Schizosaccharomyces pombe: one gene and its partners. The gene in region 1 interacts genetically with each later gene. Each region holds a gene or a part of one and is shown in the gene's direction. Other genes may lie near its edges. The genes, in order: rng2, gef2, fim1 and pxl1.

Evidence for each region.
Region 2: of rng2 (region 1) and gef2, changing one enhances a phenotype caused by changing the other (phenotypic enhancement), as found in Schizosaccharomyces pombe (one study listed by BioGRID).
Region 3: mutations in rng2 (region 1) and fim1 impair growth when combined (synthetic growth defect), as found in Schizosaccharomyces pombe (one study listed by BioGRID).
Region 4: mutations in rng2 (region 1) and pxl1 are lethal when combined (synthetic lethality), as found in Schizosaccharomyces pombe (2 studies listed by BioGRID, with this or other methods).

What each region holds. Positions count from the first base shown.
Region 1 is NC_003424.3:2,643,483-2,650,943, forward strand, and holds rng2 (IQ motif containing GTPase activating protein), read left to right. Parts: upstream 1-1,945; 5' UTR 1,946-2,034; coding exon 2,035-6,504; 3' UTR 6,505-6,945; downstream 6,946-7,461. Other genes in the region: hcs1 (3-hydroxy-3-methylglutaryl-CoA synthase), read left to right, coding at 142-201, 378-1,661; U5 snRNP complex subunit Spp42, read left to right, coding at 7,256-7,461. UniProt on the Schizosaccharomyces pombe protein: Component of the contractile F-actin ring; required for its construction following assembly of F-actin at the division site.
Region 2 is NC_003424.3:417,998-424,528, forward strand, and holds gef2 (RhoGEF Gef2), read left to right. Parts: upstream 1-1,944; 5' UTR 1,945-2,468; coding exon 2,469-4,890; exon of another isoform or gene 4,891-4,928; coding exon 4,929-5,156; intron 5,157-5,201; coding exon 5,202-5,310; exon of another isoform or gene 5,311-5,359; coding exon 5,360-5,906; 3' UTR 5,907-5,994; downstream 5,995-6,531. Other genes in the region: bun107 (WD repeat-containing protein), read left to right, coding at 1-374; Ctf18 RFC-like complex subunit Dcc1, read right to left, coding at 478-723, 762-1,223, 1,271-1,505, 1,605-1,735; pre9 (proteasome core particle subunit alpha 3), read right to left, coding at 6,480-6,531. UniProt on the Schizosaccharomyces pombe protein: Has a role in the control of cell polarity and cytokinesis. Involved in bipolar growth and septum formation.
Region 3 is NC_003423.3:3,105,731-3,110,579, reverse strand, and holds fim1 (fimbrin), read left to right. Parts: upstream 1-1,771; 5' UTR 1,772-1,838; coding exon 1,839-2,072; intron 2,073-2,148; coding exon 2,149-3,637; intron 3,638-3,691; coding exon 3,692-3,813; 3' UTR 3,814-4,338; downstream 4,339-4,849. Other genes in the region: SPOM_SPBC1778.07 (carnosine N-methyltransferase), read right to left, coding at 118-619. UniProt on the Schizosaccharomyces pombe protein: Binds to actin, and functionally associates with actin structures involved in the development and maintenance of cell polarity. Plays a role in cytokinesis. Plays important roles in mating and in spore formation.
Region 4 is NC_003423.3:2,710,214-2,714,710, forward strand, and holds pxl1 (paxillin-like protein Pxl1), read left to right. Parts: upstream 1-1,954; 5' UTR 1,955-2,298; coding exon 2,299-2,327; intron 2,328-2,383; coding exon 2,384-3,671; 3' UTR 3,672-3,994; downstream 3,995-4,497. Other genes in the region: asn2 (asparagine synthase), read right to left, coding at 1-1,281; erb1 (WD repeat/BOP1NT protein), read right to left, coding at 4,211-4,497.

The sequences.
Region 1 (7,461 bases):
ACACACTGTCGCTCTAACTAAAGCTATCTGTTTCATTTAACCATAACCAAGATACTTCGATAATTTTCCGCTTAGTCGCCTCACAAATAGGTTAGTGCAATCTTTTTTCAAAACCCTCACACTTTGTAGAAACTCAAGAAAATGTCCTTTGATAGAAAAGATATTGGTATTAAGGGCCTCGTGTTGTACACTCCCAATCAGGTATGTTATAAATGAGTCGCTACTTTATTTCAAAACTTCTCCTCCAAATTATTTGCATGCATTACCTACATCTTTTTTCAATAGTACAAATTTACGCAAGCTTCAGAGGAAAGTAATAGAAATACTTTCTCATTAAATTCCTTCAGAACCTGATATTAATCGTTTTTACCCTATAGTATGTTGAACAAGCTGCCCTCGAAGCGCATGATGGAGTCTCTACTGGAAAGTATACTATTGGCCTCGGCTTGACTAAGATGGCTTTTGTCGACGATCGTGAAGACATTTATTCCTTTGGTCTTACCGCTCTTTCTCAACTTATCAAGAGATACCAAATTGATATAAGCAAGATTGGTCGTTTGGAAGTTGGAACTGAGACTATCATCGATAAATCTAAGTCTGTCAAAAGTGTTTTAATGCAACTTTTTGGGGATAACCACAATGTCGAAGGTATTGATTGTGTTAATGCCTGTTATGGTGGCGTGAACGCTCTTTTTAACACAATCGATTGGATTGAGTCTTCTGCTTGGGATGGCCGTGATGGTATAGTTGTCGCTGGTGATATTGCTCTCTATGCCAAGGGCAATGCTCGTCCTACCGGTGGTGCTGGTTGTGTCGCCCTTTTGGTTGGTCCTAATGCCCCTATTGTTTTTGAACCTGGTCTACGTGGTACTTACATGCAACATGCTTACGATTTTTACAAACCCGATTTGACGAGTGAATACCCTTACGTTGATGGCCATTTTTCTCTTGAATGTTATGTTAAAGCTCTTGATGGAGCATATGCTAATTACAATGTTCGTGATGTTGCTAAGAATGGAAAAAGTCAAGGACTTGGATTGGATCGTTTTGATTATTGCATTTTCCACGCTCCTACTTGCAAACAAGTCCAAAAAGCATATGCGCGTTTATTGTACACCGATAGCGCTGCTGAACCATCTAATCCCGAGTTGGAAGGTGTCCGTGAACTTCTTAGCACCCTGGATGCTAAGAAATCCCTTACCGACAAGGCTTTAGAAAAAGGTCTTATGGCCATAACTAAAGAGCGTTTTAACAAACGAGTTTCCCCTAGTGTCTATGCCCCTACCAACTGTGGTAATATGTACACTGCCAGTATTTTCTCTTGTTTAACTGCATTACTTAGCCGTGTCCCCGCTGATGAACTTAAAGGAAAACGCGTCGGTGCTTACTCTTATGGTTCTGGTTTGGCTGCCTCGTTTTTTTCATTCGTTGTCAAAGGCGACGTCTCTGAAATTGCCAAGAAAACTAACTTGGTTAACGATTTGGATAATCGTCATTGTTTAACCCCTACGCAGTATGAAGAGGCTATTGAGCTACGCCATCAAGCACACTTGAAAAAGAATTTTACTCCCAAAGGAAGCATCGAACGTCTTCGTTCAGGTACTTACTACCTTACTGGTATTGATGACATGTTCCGCCGTAGCTATTCGGTGAAGCCTTAAATCACCGAAAAAAAGATTAGAATGCAAACTAGATACTGTTAAAATCTCTTTTAGTAGACTTTTTTTTGATACATGAATATGTGATTTTGACAACTTTTTTGTTAATTATTTAAAACTCATACGTATTGTAGTCTTAAAATGAATAACCTTCATTTGTAATAGCATAACCTAAATAATTAGAGTAAATTCGTCACTAACGGACAGTATCTTGAATTAAACTACTTACACCTAAAAACCCCCCACTCATCTTGATAACCCACATTTTCTTTGTCTGAGTAACAGCTACTCTCCACTAACATAGCCGAAAAATTGTGTGCAGTTACTTTATCTAGTTTGAGATCGAATGCTGAGTAGGTAGTCATCAGAAGTCTCAATGGACGTAAATGTGGGATTATCTAGACTTCAATCTCAAGCTGGGGCACCTGTTGGCACGAAAGGGTCGAACACTCGTTTAGCAGCCAAACAAAGAGAAACCCTTCAAGCATATGATTATTTGTGTAGGGTTGATGAAGCAAAAAAATGGATAGAAGAATGCCTCGGCACAGATCTAGGACCAACGTCTACATTTGAGCAGTCGCTGCGAAACGGAGTTGTCTTGGCTCTCTTGGTTCAGAAATTTCAACCCGATAAACTAATCAAGATATTCTATTCTAATGAACTCCAGTTTCGCCATTCAGATAACATTAATAAGTTTCTTGACTTTATCCATGGCATTGGGCTTCCCGAAATTTTTCATTTCGAACTGACTGACATTTACGAAGGGAAAAATTTACCCAAAGTTATCTATTGTATTCATGCCCTTTCTTATTTCCTTTCTATGCAGGACTTGGCACCCCCTTTAATCAAGAGTGATGAAAATCTATCTTTTACTGATGAAGACGTTTCAATAATAGTCCGTAGACTCCGACAATCTAATGTAATCCTTCCTAACTTCAAAGCTTTAAGTGCCGATTTTATGCTTCGTGCTAGTCCTGTTTCTTCTCGCACTCCTTCCCCTACACGATTTCCCAAGCATGCTCGTTTCCAAACCCTAAATTCATCAGATTCTGCATCTATATATTCGTCTCCTTATACTTCTCCTACTTTAGAATTTTCGAAGAAAGATGCTAGCGCTCGTTCAGACATCCTTAAGATGCACAGAAGGACGAAATCAGCGACACCTTCGTTAGAACAATTTAATGAACCATATAAACAAACTTTGCCTAGTCATTCAATCGAATTCGAAGACTCTTTTTTTCAACCCCCTTCTCAAAAGGGACATATGCAACGATCTTTCCTCACAACATTTTCAGCACCCACAAGAAGACGGGAGGCACTATTTTCTACCACTTCTGGACTTAGTCAGCGTAGCCCTGTCGATGAGAAAATCGTGAACGCGATTCAAGCTTGTGGTCGTGGCGTACTTGTGCGCTTGCGTTTGGTGGATATGTTACAATCCCTCGTGGAACAAAGTTCTTCTGTCGTACTTCTGCAAGCCGTAATTCGTGGATATATATCTAGAAATACATACAGAATACGAAAGAAAGCATACGATGAACTTGTAAACTGGGTTACTTCTATTCAATCCATCTCTCGTGCATATCTGATACGTGCACAATACCGTAAAGTGGTTTTACAGGAGGAGGCAACGAAGTCAATCCAAACGTTACAAAGCATTATTCGTGGGGGTTTCTATCGTCGTAAATACCACTCGTTAATAGAGAGGCTAGACTTATTTACACCATCATTTGTGTTAATTCAATCCTCAGCTTTAGGATTTCTTACCCGTCATGCAATAGTTAATATGCTTGACAACCTTTACAACTATATCCCTCTCTTTAACCGGATGCAAAGTATACTGCGTGCAAATATGTTTCGGAATGAATGGTCTAACTTTCTAGATTCCGTACAATCGTTTCCCGTTTCTTTTCACTCTATTTGCAAAGGACGCTTGATAAGGGATTCTATAAACAGATTAAATGGATCACTTCTGGGAGAACTGGATAATTTTATTAAACTACAAAATTTATCTCGAGGATTTATGATTCGTCGGGCATTTAAAGAGAAATTGGAGAAATTAAAAGCATCAACATCCTCTTTCATTGCTCTACAGGCAATTGTTCGGGCTTTTCTTTTAAGAAAAAACTTGGAAAGCATTTATGATTCTTTTCAAAAATCGCACCTATCTGTCATTAAAGCCCAATCTCTTTATCGGGGATTCATTACTCGAACCAAAATTGATTATTGTAACGACTATTTGTTAAAGCGATTACCAGATATCGTGTTTATGCAATCTGCAGTCCGTGCAATTCTTTTACGAGATGATGTGAATTATACTGAAGTTCAGTTAGATTCTTTTATTCCTGAAATTGTATTGTTACAATCTTTAATTCGTGGGTATCTATCTCGAAACAAATTTTCAAGAAAACTTCAAAATTTTCATAAGAATATGGAGAATCCCATAGTTGCGAAGTCCATTTTTAGGGGTCGTCAAGAAGGGTTGGCTTATAGAGAACTTGCTACGGCCAAAAATCCACCTGTTATGACGGTCAAAAATTTTGTTCATTTATTAGACGACACCAATTTCGACTTTGAGGAAGAAGTATTGCTTGAAAAAATGAGAAAAGAAATTGTGCAACAAGTACGAGACAATGAAGAAATTGAAGTTCACATCAATGAACTAGACGTGAAGATTGCTTTGTTGGTTAAAAACAAAATCAGTTTGGATGATGTTTTAAAACATCACAACAAGTATAAATTTGGAAAGCAAAGCACTGAATATTTAAAAATTAATACTCTGTCTATGAAGTCACTCAACAATTCAAGCAGAAAATTTTTGGAACTTTATCAGTGTTTTTTCTATGTGTTACAAACCAACGAAATGTACTTAGCAAATTATTTTCAAGCGCTAAAAACTGAGGGCACTTCCTCTGTAAAGATCCGTCATGCTGTTTATTTAGTTTTGCAAATTTTCGGCCATGGCTCTAACCGACGAGAAGAAGTACTACTTTTGAGATTCATTTCCCAAGTCATTAAGCTAGAAGCAGCTTTAGTTAATTCATCTCAGGATCTACTTTCTGATGACTGTGTCTGGAAATTACTGTTCACTGGATATCGTGGGGACGTTCGTGAAGTGAAGCTTTGGAAAACTATTCTCGGCCGCATTCACAAGGTTTTAGTAGCCGACAATCATTTGGATTTTGAAATCAATCCGTTGACTCTATTTAAAAGTTTCAATCCTGAAGTTGCCAGTCAAACTGATAGTCCAAAACTCACTTTGTCGTTAGCAATGCAACACCCACCGACAAGAAATCTATACGTTAGCAGACTTCGTGAACTTCGAAAACTGTGTCAATCATTCCTAGTAGCACTTTCTAAGAATATTGAAAATATTCCTTATGCTTTATGCTATACTGCAGCACAATTGAAAAATAGCTTACAACGATATTTCCCCGCTGCGCATAAAGAAGAAATTTTTGGCGTAATAGGGAAATTTGTTTATTGGGCTTATGTCGCTCCTGTACTTGTGTCACCCGATAACTTCAAGTTGGTTGATGGCTCTATTACAGCTCTTCAACGAAAAAACCTTTACACATTGTCAAGCATTTTGTCTGAGATCTTTTCAATCGAGTCCTGTGACTCTAAGCAACTTGGTTTTTTTAGACCACTCTCCGAGTTTATTGAGGTGTCCAAGCAGGATACCATGTTGATGCTAGAAAGGCTTGTCGATGTGGTTGATCCAGAGGTGTACTTTGAGTTCGATGCTTTTGAAGACCTTGTTAATACCAAGCGGCCAGTAATATACATGAAGCGAGACGATATTTTAGGCATTTATTCATCTATTGCATATGTCATAGATAGTATTGCTCCTCCTGATGTGAACGATCCATTACGCGCTGTTGTCAATAGCTTAGGTCCTGTTTCAGAGCAAGACAATGACTTTGTGCAAGATGAAACTGACGTCAAACTAGAATTGAATCCCAAATTTTGCACTATAGAAAATCCCGTTGCTCAGGAACGGACTCTTATTGTTCAGACAAAGAGATATATATTATTTATTATTCGAATTCAAAATGGCCTTAATCTTTTGGAAATACTTGTCAAACCGGTTACAGATTCAGACGAAGCAGCATGGCAAAATTTATTGGCAGAAGAATCTGAAAAGAATGCAAGGAATTATGATTTGTTTGATGATTCTATCTTTTCAATGTCATTTGCAGAACTGAAATACACTGCACTAAGCAATATAGTGGAAATGGAAAAGCTTGGATTTGCAAACCGACGGAATAATTACCAAGATATGGTAAATTCTATCGCTCTAGATATCCGTAATAAGTCGAGAAGAAGGATGCAACGACAGCGTGAACTTGATGCGGGACATCAAAGTTTGCTTAACTTACGAGAAAAAAGAGCTTTCCTTGATTCGCAGCTAAAAAGTTATAACGAATACATTGAACAAGCTATGGAAACATTACAATCAAAGAAGGGTAAGAAGAAGCTTATTCCTTTTTCTAAACAGTATTTTCACATGCGAGATCTCCGAAAATCTGGACGCGTTCCTCGCTTTGGGTCGTTCAAGTACCCAGCTCTTAAACTCTATGACCGAGGAGTTTTGGTATCAATATCTCATATGCCGCAGAAAGAAAAATTGTATATTACTATATCAGCCGATGAAGTTGGCAAATTTATTCTGGAAGCAACAAGCCCGACAGTTAAAGTTTCGAGCCCAAGGTGTGAATTGCATTTGGACGACTTGTTGTCTGCTCAATATAACAAGGTTTTAACTTTGGATGTTTTGGATGGCCGTCTCAAATTAAACACCAATATGTTCTTACATTTGATTTTCTCCAAATTTTATTCATGAGACGTTTCACTTTGTTCATTTTTCCGTCTCTTTAACTACCCAATGATTTAATTCGAATTAACTTAAAACCGTCAAATATCTTTGCACATTAATACTTGTCCATATTCTTTTGGCGAAATATGTATACTATGTGATATTTTCTCCCCTTTAATTCTGATAATTTGCACAGTTTTCCCATTTCATTCACTTAGTGTGGGGGGTTTTTTTATCACTACTTGTGTTTACTTATACTGTACAAATCTTATTTAACTCGGTGTTATTTTTCAAATTTTTTTTTTCAACTAAAGCCGTTGAACCTGAAACACTAAATCAAGGAATAGGAATTTTTGGTTTATGCATACTAGTTGTACTTGGTAATTTATACTTTCTGAATTAGTTAAAGGTTTATAATTACAAATAACACTTTTTTATAACAAAATGTAATTTATGTCAATACATACATCTTTACTAATTCTTATAAGGCGATTCGATTGAGCATGATTATGTTCAAATTAACCTTTGGATATGGGTAGGTGTTTGGTTGACAAACTTCTTAAGCGTGTTGCATTTTAACGAAGAAAATTTGAATTTTCAAATCCCGTATAGCGTGTAAAAAAATATACATTAAACACGTATTATGAGCAGAAGACTACATAGACCTAATATGAAATAAAACGCACAAAAGAATATTACGCACAAATAATGGCGAGGGTCACCACCATACAAAGTAATATTCACTACCACAATTCAGCTGACAAATACCATTACCTAAATGGCGTCGTTACCACCGGGGAATCCTCCTCCACCGCCTCCTCCGCCTGGATTTGAGCCTCCTTCACAGCCTCCACCTCCTCCACCTCCAGGTTATGTGAAGAAAAGAAAAAACAAGACTCCAGCACAGTCTGGAAATCTTGAAAAGCAACTTAACGAAAGAGCACGCAAATGGCGCGCTTCTCAAAAATCAAAGTTTGGTGTCAA
Region 2 (6,531 bases), 2.2 Mb from region 1:
CCTTTTGGCTTGGAAGATTACTGTTATTAAACGAATTTCCTTCTAAAACTGCCCCTACTGTTAATTTTACTCTTCAGCCTTTTCCTGGAAGTGGTTTACCGCTTATTGTAAATGAAAACACTCGTTTAAGTGCTAGTGCTATGCTTCGTGCTCAGAAAATTATGGATTATAGCTATAGCAAGCTTAGCCAACAAAGAAAGGATGTATCATCCCTTCAATTTAGATGCAAAGATGTCGTCGTTACCCCCAAAATGACATTGGCAACTGTTAAGGCTCGAATTTGGCGATCTGGAGACGACGTTGTCTTTCATTATGATGTTGCTCCTAGATCTGTTTCAGAAATTGTTGATAAAACCCAGAGTCTTAATATTTAAAACTTAAGTTTGATTAAAATTTTAATTGATTTCATAATCCTGTCGAAAATAATGTACAATAAAATCAAGTTTTCAACCTGTATAGTACCGGCCAAATAAGGTTTTACCATGTCCCTCTAGAATTAATGTAAACACCGTCCCTACTGGTTTGTTTTCGCCCATATTTCAATATAAGAGCTTCAACTCTTGATTTCGACAAGGCAAGATCTTTAACGAAACTCCAAAGTTCTTCATATAACCATTTCGACTTAAGTTGAAACAAAGATTGAAACCGCCTACTTGGTTCTCTCGGTAACTGATCTCCTGATAAATACTGAATCGTATTTGGGGTATCGTGAAAATAATAACCCTAAAGAGTTTTAGCATTAGCTGACTAAAATGCCCTACCTTTAATAAATTCAAAGAAGGAAGTCCTTTACAAGGATACGGAAGACGATTATCCCATAACTGAATGAACTCATCGGAGCTTATACTGTTGATGCCTTCTAACAAAAATCGCCCATACCAAAAAGTCGTCAACTCTAAATCGATATTGAATTTTTTAGGTAAGACATTGTCCTTAATGGGTGAAGAGATACTTTCAAGAACACAAATTACTGAATCCCAATCAAATTCGTCATCCATAGCTGGCTTTTTTAAAATCTTAAACTCAAAACTTGCAAAGTCTATGTGTAACTGTTGGGCTATAACAAATATCCAGTCAATAATTGAACATATGTAAGAAGGTGATAATCGGTACAAGAATTCATTCTTTACCATGAAAAAGTTTTTCTGCAAGAATGAATCGACTTCATTTCTGCTAGCAGGAACAGATCGTATAAATTGATCTTTTGTAAGTGAAATGGGCTTCTGTTGAGACTGTTAGTGAAAGGCTAACTATTCAATAAAATGCATACCAATTCCACAGAATCTTCGTCCCAATAAGAAATTTTGTCGTCTGAAAAAATAAACCCATAAATCCGTTCAACTTCTAAAAATGAATAACATGTGTCATTTAATACCCAGTCGGTAGGACTGAGCTCATCAAAAAGCAAATACGAGTTTGATTGAACCACTTGACGCACAGCATACGTTTTATCTGAAGTACAGAGTACTGAAGCCTTTTTATCAAAATCTGATTTAAAGACAATCCTATTATCGATGTTAGATCATAAGTTGTCAAATAGCGATATAAAAAATAAAAAAGTAATGATTCAACTTCAGGTTATTTATACACAAGGAAACACATACTCTTCTTCAGGATTTTCTTCCAGAGTCTTTAATAAATCGTCGTCTAGTTCCAACAATAAATATTCAGAAGAAATATCAGAGCTTGGATGAGGGTATTTTAATAAAATGCATCTTTCTTCATTCGCTTCCATTTAATGTCTCTTTTTTTGTCTATTAAGTAATTCCCGATCTCAATAAATGACAGATTTGACTTTGGGTTGCTATTTTACTTTATTGTTAGAAAACAAGAAAATGATCACTAAAAGATTAAATTAATAATATGGTAAAAGACTAGCAGCTGTAGCGGATTTTCGCTGCAGAAAATTACCATATGTCCTATCGGTGAATGGAGAAATGGAGTAAAACTACCTAATTCAAACAACCACATCGGAGAAGCAGGTTCGGAAGCTTCAAGTGAGATTAGGATATAGTCCCTGAATTGGGTCTATTCCTTTTTCTTTTGTAGCTGTATAACTGGAAGTACTTTCACTAATAAACATTGAATTGAGATTTCTTATAATCATTAATAATTTTTGAGTTGCATAAAAACAATTTCTATCAAGTTCCGTTCTATCGATCTTTTGTAAAAAGTCTTGAAGGTTTAATTTATTTAATAATTCTTTTTCTTGGGAACCATTGCTTCTTTGCTTAAAACTTTTCTTCAGCTTTGCTTGACTGGTCAATATACTATTTGTTTTACTGTTTAAGGGATTTTGCTACCTCTATTTCTTTTCTTTCTACAAGTTTTACAGGTTATCAAGCCATCACATTTAACTGCGGTTGTTGAAAAAAAGCTTACTTGTTTACGTATATTTGGCGAAGTTAAGTTTCATATTTTTGTCTACGCGATTGACCTTTATCTTACTTTTTTCATTTATTTTTACCATGGACGTCGGCACGATGGGTTCGCGTGCTGAACTGTTAGCAATTAGCATTCAATTTGGAGGTCTATGGGTTTTTAGGGATCTGTTACAAATGAATCCTTTGTTTGAGCAAGATCATGTATTTTGTACCTTCAATCATCCAAATATGGGTTTGGTATTGATTTCATTTGCCAAAGTTGATGGTCATATTTTAGCAGCTTATGCTTTATCGAAATTGGGACCTGACACGTTTTCTATATGTTACCCTTTCTCTTCGAAGTTGGATGCTTTTGCGCAAACTTTGGACCTAGAATGGCAAATTGCTAGTATGCATAAGGAAGCTGCTGCATGCGTATATGAGTTTCTTTGCGTGGAATCTGTATGTTTACATACAGGCGAAAATTGGCGAGAGTCAGTCATTGAACCTGAGTATGCTTCCTATATTTTTGATACAATAAACGTTTTCCAGTCATCTTCTCTCACTCGTGAGCTTTATTCTCTTGGCGAGCCGAATGGTGTACGCGAATTCGTGGTAGATGCTATTTTTGACATAAAGGTTGATAACTCTTGGTGGGAAGACCCTTCTAACTCTTATTGGAAAACCGTTATAGGAAGTAGGGAAATGTTTGAGGATTCACGAAAAAAGACTTCAAGTCCGAGTCCGAGTTTTGCGTCTAGTAAAGATGCCGGAACCATACCTGCAATTCAAAAAAAAAAGAGTTTACTCATTGAGATGATGGAAACAGAGAGCACATATGTTGAGAGACTACGCCATTTAGTTAATGATTATGCACTCCCTTTACGGGATTTGGCCAAGTCTTCGAAAAAATTGCTGGGACTTTATGAATTAAACACCCTATTTCCGCCTTGTCTTAACAAATTAATTCAGCTCAATTCTGCTTTTCTTGACGAGTTTGAGGCAATCATGAGTGATTTAAATTTTGAAGATATAGACGAAAAAAAGTTTGAAGAAATTGATCTTCGATTAGCTTGTTGTTTTGAATCTCATTTTTTCGCTTTTTCACAACATTATCCTCGTTACCTTGAGCAAAGTAATGATTTTGGTAATGTTTTAAAGATGGCTTCAAAAATACCCAAATTTGTTGAATTCCATGACCAGGTAAAGCTTAACGCAAACATGAATGTGGGTTTGAGTCAGCTTATTATGGAACCAGTTCAAAGGATTCCACGATATTCACTATTTTTAGATCAGATTATATTATTGACACAAGAAGGAGAATGTCAACATACATACGTGCGCTCAGTTGAGATTATAAAAAATATTGCAGAAATGCCTACAGTTGATGCCGAAGAACGATCAAGGATTTTTGCTGGCTTACAACATATAATTCCTGACTTAGCACCAAACATGATATCTAACTCTCGAAATTTCATAGATTGTATTGACGTGACTAGGGAGTTTCTAAAAAACGGGCAACTGCATTTAATACCTTATACTCTAATTTTATTCAATGATCGAATTTGTCTTGTTCAAAGACGCTCCAAATCAAGTATTGCCTCAACTATATTGGATCTTCGTAAGCAAAATCCTCGCAATTCTTATTCCAAAGAAAAGCGTGCTCAATATATCGGTTCAAATATGAATGAAGCGGTTGAGTTGACAAGAAGTATGGTTGAGGAGAATACTATTTTTTTAATTTCCAAGTATGCATCTTCTCCTTCATTTTTTAATGAGTATCCTATTTTGAAGTTTCGTTGCGATTTTGAAAATGTAAGAACTATGGATAGGTTTTATCAGTCTTTTCAAAAAGCACTTTCAATGAACAAAAGCCAGCCTTCCTGCCTTAGTTTTTCAAAACTCAATGACTTTGTGGTTTTTTTTAATAACTATTCACGATTTGAGTATGAGAAAGAATCAAAACGCTCAGACATAGTATGCATATGCACCAATGATGCCAACGTTGATAAGCATAAATTTTTGCAAGACGGTAATATTGTCATTACTTTTTTTCAACAAGACGAAGATTTTCATTTAAGTTTCGATTCCTGGTTAGGTGTCAGTTTGCCTACTGAAGCTGTTATAGCTAAGGAAGACCTTAGGGAGGCTTGTCTTAATTATCTTATTAATATAAAAAGGCTTCTCCTATGCCCTTTTTCAAATAGAAATTTCTCAAGCTTGGATCTATACTCAAACCTTATACAGCATTTGCTTTCTGCTAATTCCAGCCCACGAAAAAGTAGGTTATCATTTGGAGGAAGGCCCGGAAGCCCTTCTAAAATCAGTTTATCATTGAACAGGTTTTATAATCAAGGCGGTTTATCAAAATCTTGTGCTACACTTCCTTCGCAAATGTACAATTTGGACCATAATAATATTTCACAAAAATCATTGAAGTTTAATACTCATAATACTTCGAAGGCTTCTGCTGAGAAAACTGTCGAACATCTTGAAGCTTTCAAAGGCGGATTTAAATATCATACAGGTAATATTGCAATTTGGATCATAACGTTAACTGAGCAGATTTAAAGAATTTACTATATCCACTGTCTGAAAAGGAGAAGATTGAGGGGGATGAGCTGTACGATAATATTTTGAAGGAAACTTTTAATGAAGAATTACTCTCTCATTACCCACCAAATATTATTTATGCGACCTTTCAAAAATATTTGAGCTCCTTTATCAATCGAAAATTTGGAGTTTTGCTTTCTTCTTCATTCATACAACAGTTAAATACTGTTGAAAATTTAAGTATGTATCGCTATCAAATTTGATTTTTTTTAACTAACATTGAAGATCTATCTTTCAATTCAACTGATGCAGTTTATCATTTGAAAAAAATCTTACAAGACTTACCCGAGAGTAGCCTAAAGATCCTTGAGAACATTTTTTCTATTGCTTCCGAGTAAGTCACCAAGCTTGTTTTTCAGAGGTTTTATTATCTAACGTCGTAGTTTGCTTTTGAGACTTCCTCTTAAAGATCAATGTGATTTTGTTACGAAACAACTAGCAATTGCCTTGGCTCCTTCCATGTTTGGAAGTAATGCTGTAGAACTTGTTTATTACCTTGCATACCACAGTGATCGCATTTTTGGAACAGTAGAGGAATTGCCGACTCCGGTTTCCCCTGCGAATTCCAATAATGATAAACAGTTAGATGAATCGAAATTCCAAGCAATTGCCATGAAAGAAATGCCGGAAAGACACCCTAAGGAAATTTTACCTGGTCAAATAGAACGAGAGGCATACGAGGATTTACGACGCAAATATCATCTGACTCTTGCAAGGTTGGCTCAAATGACTCGATTAAATGAAGATTCTAAAAAGTCTATCCCTCTGTTGTATGATCGCTTCAACCATGATCTTAAGCTTATAAAGCAATCAGTTCAAGCCAGTTTAATTAGAAAACAATGTGAACTAGATACCGCAAAGTGGACTCTTGAAGAGTATGAATCCAAGCTAAACGCTAAGGAAGGTTGTCAAACCAACATATTTATATAGCCAACTAGTCTATACTACATCGATTATTAGATTATTTGTTTTACTATTCCTTTTTTAGATATCAATAGTTATTTTTTTTATCCTTCAATATGTAAGTGAAAGTTAATAATACTCATCAAAAAGTTTTCTCTTATTTTTATAAATAGTATAGAATTGGAATATGCTACACCGTTTAAAATCTTCAGTTATGAAAACTAAGCATATAGTTTAGAACATATGAGAGTCATTGACATTCCATTGGAAATACTATAATTTTAAATATGCCGGAATGGTGTACTCAAGTAGAAATTGACGTTATGAAGGGAATGAGAAAGAAAGGTCTAAGTATAAAAGAAACTTGAAAAAAGCCTTTTTTAAAACGGCATAAGAATTCATAAGATAATGATTTAGCGTAGATAAAAAGAAAGCAAGCCTATATTGAGACGGAATAAGGCTCATGATGGAACTTAGTTTGCTTCAAATTGTTTACAAAAACCATGAGCTAATTACAAGGAGATTAAAGGGTAACGACGAAAGCTATAAAAAACAGCTATACACTTAAAGTGTTTTCCCAATGAATTGAGTAAGGCAATATTAAGATTGCCGCTGGGTCTCTTGGTACTTATTGAGCACTTCATTTATTTCA
Region 3 (4,849 bases), on another chromosome or scaffold:
CTATTAAATGTTAGAAGCTATGTCCAAAAATCCAAATTTAGAAAGAAGTTAGAAAACATGTAATCAGATAAATAATAAATCATGCTATTTTTGATTGATAGTATCAAGTGTACCTACCTTCCACAGCTATATCAAAGGCCAATCTTCCTAAGCCGGAACCTGGAACAAGTACACGAATTTTAGATCTGTCTATAGAATCAGATGGGAAAAGTGAATTTAGTTCCTCGATGAAAGGAGCATATGTAGTACGGCGTTCCTCAACACATTCGGTCGACCAATCTCTCGCAATTTGCTTGAGAGTGCTTGAAACTTTTTGCATCATATCAACATTGACATGAAATAACTCATTTTGATCGAAATCACTGCAGAACACAGGAATGGCTGCGTTAGCGATTGCTTCAGCAAGCACGCTGTTCTGCTCGATACATTGATCAATCCTTGAAAGATGCTTTAAAAAATTGTTGTCAGAGTCCTGTAAGAGTAAGTCCTTGTGTTCAAAAGACAACCTGCTCATCGATTTTCTCTTCTGTTGTGTTATTGTATGAGCATATTGCCTGTACAAAAAGAACGCGCTTAAAACTTCTTTCAAAACTTTTACTTCTTCCTCATCATATTCCATAGTTTTTTTTGATGTTTCTGAGCTCTATCTAGACTTTAATATTTTTATCATCTAAGTCGCAATTTTGGCGTTGTGGAGAAGTTAAACCTCTAACTTGTTGCTTCATTGAAGTTGGAAGTGTTGAAGAAACCAATAAGTTAAGAATATTATGGTTAATATAATTATGTTTTATGTATTTCATTAGCTTTTCAAGTTATGTTTATATCTACTGTGTTTGATTGCAATATTGAATCATCTCTGCTGAAAATCCCTGCAACGCGGTGCCTCTATGAAAATAGTGTTTGCCTTTTGCAAAAATCCCATAGGTTTTATTTGGATAGTTGTCAGACAATATTTTACAACAGCAGCCGCAAAGGAAATTCACCATGCTTCAACAATACCGGAACAGCTAATCTTCTGAAGCATCGTTATAGTAGTATTGTGAGTTTTGTAGATTATAAGAAAATAATATAAGAGAATCTTGGTGCACGCAGTAATATCATACAATATTTATATTGCAGCTTATAAACGAGACTGGAAATACACGTGAAAAGGTAGTCAGGTTAAAAGTTTAACCCTGTGACATCTGGCTAATCTTTTATCCTATTGCGCAGTTAAAAGCGGGAATTACTTCTTTTTCTTATATTGTATCAAAAATTGTTGGCTTCAGTGACCTAAACCCTTGAACAAAAGAAAAAAAACACGAATTTTCACGGCCGGAAAAACTTTCTGCAACGTTTTACAAAGGATCTACTATCATAGTAAGTAGAAATTTTGGCTTCTTGACATATAGTACTAAGTAATTTTCAAGTCGATGCATCAGTTGACTTCAATTGAAAGAGCTTGCTAGTTTGTGATGTTTATGGCATTTGAATTCGGTAATATCGCTAATTTGATATGGACTTACGTTTAGCTTTTTATTCTGTAAAAAAAATTAAAATTCAATGTAGTTGATATCCCAGCTATATATTCAATCTAAAGCTACAACGCAAGACATCGTCAAGTAGTAAATTACTTTTTACAATTGCAAATTAACTTTTAACAGATTGGCTAAGCAAACGTGTATTAACTCATTTAGCGAGCGGATCAAAGTTTTGCTCTACGCTTCTGTAAGTATGATGTATGTGCATCAACAACACGACGTTAATCCTTGTCACGTAGCAACTGCAAGCCACCCAAAGCACACATCGTGTGGTTTCGTTTACTATACATTTTTTGGTCAAATTTTACTTTTAAAGAAATGTTAGCTCTTAAACTTCAAAAGAAGTATCCGGAGCTCACTAATGAGGAAATTCTAACCTTAACCGACCAATTTAACAAACTTGATGTGGATGGAAAGGGATATTTAGATCAACCTACCACTATTAAAGCCTTTGAAGATTCAAAGAAGGGTTCTTACGATGAGGTCCGTGAAGCAATTCGTGAAGTTAACGTTGATTCGTCTGGACGTGTTGAACCCGAAGACTTTGTAGGAGTAAGTAATGTTTTCCGTAATTTTCACGATATGTGTCTCTATATCGCTTCATCAATTGGATTACTAATGCATATAGATTTTCAATGTTTTAAAAAAAGGTGTAGAAGGTACTGAAGTAAAAAAGGGTCGGATTACTATCAAAGGATCTTCCTCAAGTGTTTCTCATACCATTAATGAGGAAGAGCGAAGAGAATTTATCAAGCATATTAATTCCGTCTTAGCTGGAGACCCTGATGTTGGTTCCCGAGTCCCCATCAACACTGAAACCTTTGAGTTTTTCGATCAATGCAAAGATGGTTTAATCCTCTCAAAGTTAATTAATGACAGCGTTCCCGACACCATTGATGAGCGTGTACTCAATAAACAGAGAAATAACAAGCCTCTTGATAATTTCAAATGTATTGAAAATAACAATGTTGTTATTAACTCCGCAAAAGCTATGGGTGGTATCTCCATTACCAACATTGGTGCCGGCGATATTTTAGAAGGTCGTGAACATTTGATTCTTGGTCTTGTTTGGCAAATCATTCGCCGCGGTCTCCTTGGAAAGATTGATATTACTTTACATCCCGAGCTTTACCGCCTTCTCGAAGAGGATGAAACCCTTGACCAATTTCTCCGTCTCCCTCCTGAGAAAATTCTTCTCCGCTGGTTCAATTATCACTTAAAGGCTGCCAATTGGCCGCGTACTGTCTCTAACTTCTCAAAAGATGTTTCAGATGGCGAGAATTATACTGTGCTGCTCAACCAATTAGCTCCCGAACTCTGTTCACGTGCTCCTCTTCAAACTACAGATGTTTTGCAGCGTGCTGAACAGGTTTTACAGAATGCTGAAAAATTGGATTGCCGCAAATATCTTACACCTACCGCTATGGTTGCAGGGAACCCTAAGCTTAACCTTGCCTTTGTTGCTCATCTCTTTAATACTCATCCAGGTTTGGAGCCTTTAAATGAAGAGGAAAAGCCGGAGATTGAACCATTTGATGCAGAAGGTGAGCGTGAGGCACGTGTTTTTACCTTGTGGTTGAACTCTCTTGATGTTACTCCATCCATTCATGACTTCTTCAATAATTTACGAGATGGCTTGATTTTGTTGCAAGCTTACGATAAAATCACACCTAATACCGTTAACTGGAAAAAGGTGAACAAGGCACCTGCATCTGGAGATGAAATGATGCGTTTCAAAGCTGTTGAAAACTGTAATTATGCAGTGGACCTTGGAAAAAATCAAGGTTTTTCTTTGGTAGGAATACAAGGTGCTGATATTACTGACGGTTCTCGTACACTCACCTTAGCATTGGTTTGGCAAATGATGCGTATGAACATTACCAAAACTCTACATAGTCTTAGCCGTGGAGGTAAAACTCTTTCAGATAGTGACATGGTTGCGTGGGCCAATTCTATGGCTGCTAAAGGTGGTAAAGGTTCTCAAATTCGTTCATTCCGTGATCCTTCTATTTCCACTGGTGTGTTCGTCTTAGACGTACTTCATGGAATTAAGAGCGAATATGTTGATTACAATCTTGTTACCGATGGTTCTACTGAAGAACTTGCTATTCAAAATGGTATGTATATATATTTGATATATTTTTAATTTTCATTACTAACACATCGTTTAGCTCGTCTTGCTATTTCTATCGCCAGAAAGTTGGGTGCCGTAATCTTTATTTTGCCAGAAGATATTGTGGCCGTTCGTCCTCGGTTGGTCCTTCATTTTATTGGCAGTTTAATGGCCGTATAATTTGTTTCGACTTAACTATAGCTTTTAACGAAACGATTTAACACATGTGTTTTTCCCAATTTAATTACTTATATTGCGAACAACTTCGGAAGTGAGTACGTCGCTTTTGACTCGCTATGTTATTAGTGGTATGTCATATTATAGATAACTTTGTGTTGTTTTATGATACATCTTAACCCGTTTTTGTCCCTTTAGTATTGGGTAATCCTTATCCTAATTAATGTTTGAGGAATTCTGAAGCTGCACGACGAAACGTAGTCATTTTTTCTCAAACTGTAGAAAATAGTTAGCTTTTTAATTTCATAATGAAGGGAAGATCATTTGTATATGTAACTAATGGTAAGTCTCTGTAGGCCCAAATAGTACGGACTGCATATGCAAATCAGCTTTCTAAATAAAGCATTCGTTGGGAGAACGTTGGTCTACCAAGCCCTAATTTTCAAACACAATAAAAAGAAATAAAAATGTATATATGTCGATTAACATTTTTTACTTTAATAAAATATTCGGAATCTTATAACAATATTATTTATTATCAGATTACTTAACATAATACACATTACGTCCACCGTATATTGTCCAACTATGTCAGCAATACTACACTACGCTATGCTACACTACGTTGCGTATCACTATATGTCATATGTTGGAATACTAGCTAAGATCCGTTTATTGATAATCACGGGTAACTATCCTTCTATATACATAGATACCCGTTGATAACAACTATTTAGAAATATTATAAATAGCGTTACAACTGAACCTCGTTCCTCAGTTCAGTTATGAGCTATATTAGTGATAGGTAACATTATAACCCAGTTAATACAATACCTATACTCAGTTGCTACTTATACAACCTGTGTATTGTAATATAATAGACCACAAGGAAAACTCACCGCAGTTCTACGTATCCTTAAATCAGATACCAAACTGCGTAGCTTACAAACTACTTATAACCACCATTCAAAACAGGTTAAATCGTTATTGCCGATTGGACTTTAAAATACATATTGCTACCTTTACTGCTATCTAAGTT
Region 4 (4,497 bases), on another chromosome or scaffold:
TAGGTGCCGCATATAACCACCGAGCTGCTCATCAGCCCCCAGGCCACTGATGAGGACTTTAGCTTTTATAGTATAGGAAGGTAATTGATGTTTCAGTTTGATATCATCCACGTTTTGTAAAAGTACACCACGCCCTTGTGAAGCAAAATAAAAAGCTAATCCAATAGAAAGATCCATAACTGAATCGTTCGGATAGATAAGTGTTTTGACTATTTCCTGTGCTTCACATACTTCTGTATAAGGAACGTTTATAGCAACAAAATTCCATTTTCGAGCAGGGCAAACTGAAATAAGCTCCTGCCAGCCTTGTAATCCAGTTTGTCTATCAGGACATACGTCGTATGCATCAAAATTGTCAGGAAGAAGTCCCGTCTCTCTGTCACGGTATGTCTCTGTAAATCTTGGGTTTTCAAAAGCCACATTAATTAAATCGATGGACTCGTTATTGGGAACTATGTCGTGCATTAGCCGTGCTAATACACCGCAATCCACTCCCCCAGAGTAAAGAACGCAAACTCGGCTATAATGACTACAGTCAAGGTTTGAAGAGCACAGTTTGGGGATTGTTAAAACTCTATCTTGAAGCGCTTTGATAAGATATGTATGCAATGTGTCCACAGTGTCTGAAGAGATTGAGCCCATGAGAAAGGACTCATCCACAGGAGGAAGAGGGTTTGTTTTTTCCAGTTGCATTAATGATTTAGAGAAGTTAATTTTTGGGATCAAGTCCACCTGCACACTATGAAACCCAGGCTCAACTTCTCGGAAATCACTAGAATTTCCTACACTTGAGAGAACGAAATTACTATCTCGTAAACTATACAAAAGGGATCTTCTTCCTAAGCGATCTCTTCCCCACCACAATGTGTTTGTACGAACTTGGTAGTAAACAAAAGCAAAAGGTCCTTGAATACTTCCCAAAATTTTTTCAATGTCGCCCGGGTTATTGTTTAAAAGTTCAAAAAGTTTTGCACCGTCGTTTTCATTACGATTGAGCGTAAATTTGTGATGATCGCTATGGTTTATTTGCCAAATTTCTCCATTCCAACACAAAACGTTTCCAAAACTGTCAACATGAGGTTGAGGCGTTAAATGATCAGAAGGGCCACGTAAATGCAAAACGCTTGACTCAAAGTGCAAATTCCAAGGTCCGCTATTCAATTTATGCTTACCAAAAAAATCAGGTCCTCTAGCCCGAATCCTTTTTCGTAAAGCTGAAAAAGATGGACTTTCAAGAAGATTATCTCTGTCTTCCGCTAAGGCGAAAAGAATTCCGCACATAAACTATTCTCAAACACTTTTGCTTCTAACAAATCTACAGTCAAAAAAGTGTTTTTTCCTTTAACGACGTTTGTGTGGTACAGTGTGATCGTAATTTTATATACAATATCATTTTGCGACACATTGCAACGCTTATAAGTAACTACACACTGAACAGACTCACGGGTCTACATATTTTTTCTTATACAATTATACTTACAACTGGTAAAGAATTTTCTTAGGTCAATCTGTAGCTTGAAAGCCAAAATTAGGTTTCTATTTATGAAACAATAAGCGAAATGCTGTATGCCTGACAAAGCATAATGGGGTAGTTAATGACATTTAAAGAGCTGTAACAATACAGTAAGCATTAATAACGCGCTCCACAATAATCTACTGCCAAAGTATAAAAAAAATAAATTATAAAAAGATATTGTACCATATTATGAAATCGCAACATATAAAATTGTCCAACAAATAACATTGATTTCGTTTGGAACATTTTCTGCATAGGAATGGCTTAATTCACTTTAATTACTAATATATTCGCATTTTTTTACTTTCTGCTGGTATACAAACATTGAATACGTACTCTCTAAGTATTCGTTAAAGGTACAATGTTACCTATTATGAGGCTGGTTTCTATAACAACGAATGTTTGTTTATATTTTGGAATATACACTTAAACAAAGCCAACACTTATTAGCTAAAACACTTTGGATAAAGCAAATATTACTGCTTTCTAAATAATAACTACTTGCTTACAATTGCATTTTTTTAATACAGCTAGTTTTTTTGGGGGACTCCGCTCTTTGAGATATATATCCTTACGTTGGCAACAATTTTCTATAAGTTAATCCCAGCTTGATTTTTGTTTTTCCTTCCTTATCCTTCTCTTCCTATTTTTTATCTTGTTTTTAAGTGTTGCGGCTAGATTTATACCCTGCGAGCTTGGCTATCCTGATTTCTTAAGGTTGTCAACGATCCTGAATTCTTTCCGTTGATTAGTGTCCTGATAGTTGAGAAGCATATCAGCAAATGCATTCACCAATTCCAGAATTACCAAGGTAATCTATTGTCTTATTGTTATTACCCAATTAGGTATCTAACTTCGTTTTTGTAGATTTGAACGTCGATTGACTGGTCCTCGTGCTGCTCCTTCTTCGCCGGTCTCTACTAATGGCTCCCCGCTAAACAATTTAGTTCGTTCTCGGTTATCTGATGGAGCACTTAACTTTACTGGAGGTCGAATAGCTACACCATTACCGCAACCAAGTTTGAAGACTCCTGAATCTCCTTTGTCCAAGAGGAATCCAACAATAAAACAAAATCGTGTACGTTTTGATCTGCCTGATGACGAGCTCTCTCGTTCTAATGTTTCGTCGCCGGAAAAAACACTACTAACCTCTGCTTCTACTTCTACTTTCGATAGCTTAAAAAAGGAGCTTTTACCTGAATTGCCATCTCTTGCATACAGTGACGACGATGAGTTTCCTAGTTCGCCGGAGGAATTGAATTCACATGTTAATTATCCAGACGTACGAAATGTTTACGATTGTCATACCGGTTTACAGCCGCTTGTTGATCATGATTGCATTGAAGACAGACAAAAAACCTTCGCATCCAAACAACTTCCTACTCTTCCTTTACAGAAATCCAGTAAACTTTCCAATCGTAGACCCGCTTTGCATTCTTTTCATTCTGCTCCTGCTAATAGCTTATATCCTTTGCCCACCCCCACTTCACAATTGCCTAGCAACTTGTCCTCAAATAATTTATTTCAATCAGATTCACTTAAGCCTTCAATGGTATCTTCTCATACATCTACAAAACCAGTTCTTTATAGAGGCAATTCTGAAAAATCCTGTCATAGTTGCGGCGGTTCTTTACGCGCTGGCAGAATAATTAGTGCTTCAGGAAAGAAATTACACCCTCAATGCTTCAAATGCGATACTTGTTCCCAGAACTTAGAGCACGTTGGATTTTATTACCGCGAGGGAAAATTTTATTGTCATCTAGACTATCATGAACAGTTCAGTCCTCGCTGTAAGCACTGCAAAACCCCAATTGAAGACCAAGCGGTCCATATCAACAATGATTGGTTTCATGAAAATCATCATTTTTGCGCTGGTTGCTCTGAAGTTTTTAATGTAAATATACCCTGTATTTACCGTGACGACCTATACTGGTGTCAGACTTGTTATGATAATAAGTATGCTGTTAAGTGCAAGAAATGCCGTAAACCCATTTTGGGGATCAGTGTAAAAGGGTCTGATGGTGAATATCATAGCCAATGTTGGACCTGCGGAGCTTGTAATGCCCTACTTGGAGATGAGGGTTATTTTATGATAGAAAATACCCCTATTTGCCGTCCTTGCAAGGCGATATCAGTCAAGTTTAATTTGGATTAACTCAGACTTACTCATCACTTTCTTTTTCTTTTTTTTTTGTTATTTTTTCACTTCTTTCATCGATTTTAGCTTTATAAGGAAAGCTGTCTTGGAAATCTTGGAGATTTTAAATCATTTCATTTAATCCACAAAGTCCAGCATGTTTACTTGCATTTAAACTTGCTGTATTTTTATAATTAAGCAATTAATGATTAGGTAACTATAGATATATAAAAAGCACTATTGAATTTCAACGGTTACGATTTTTGATATCACGTAATACTTAAATACTTTAGATAACTTACCAAAAAATAAAAAATAAAAACATATTCAGTTTGCACAAATGCATTTTAAACTTTCGAAAACCCCTATATTCCTATTAAATATCCAAAATCAAGTACGAAAACAATCTTTTCGACTTGTTAGCAAAACTATAATACAGCATTGAAAAAGTATCTTTTGCAGTAAACACTACCAAACATTATTTTTAAAAGTAGAGTTTTTCTAAATTTTAAAGCAAGTGAAGAAAACAAAAATATTTAAGACGTTTCAAACCTTTTTCAAGTCCACATCCGAATTTCTCCACCAGCACCTGCACTGAATAACCAGGCTTCTTTTGGATGCCAGCATGTGGATAAAACACCGACATTATCAACCACTTTATGATTCCGCAAAATCTTAAGAGGAACAATCAAGGGATTAGCCAGAAGGTCACTGTAAACACGACCGTGGAACACTTGAACATCACCATCATCAGAGCCAGAGCAAAATAGTGGAAGGGAAGGATGATATGAGACATCGCGAAGAGCACGTGAATGATATCGAAGATTTTTATATGGTTTAGAAG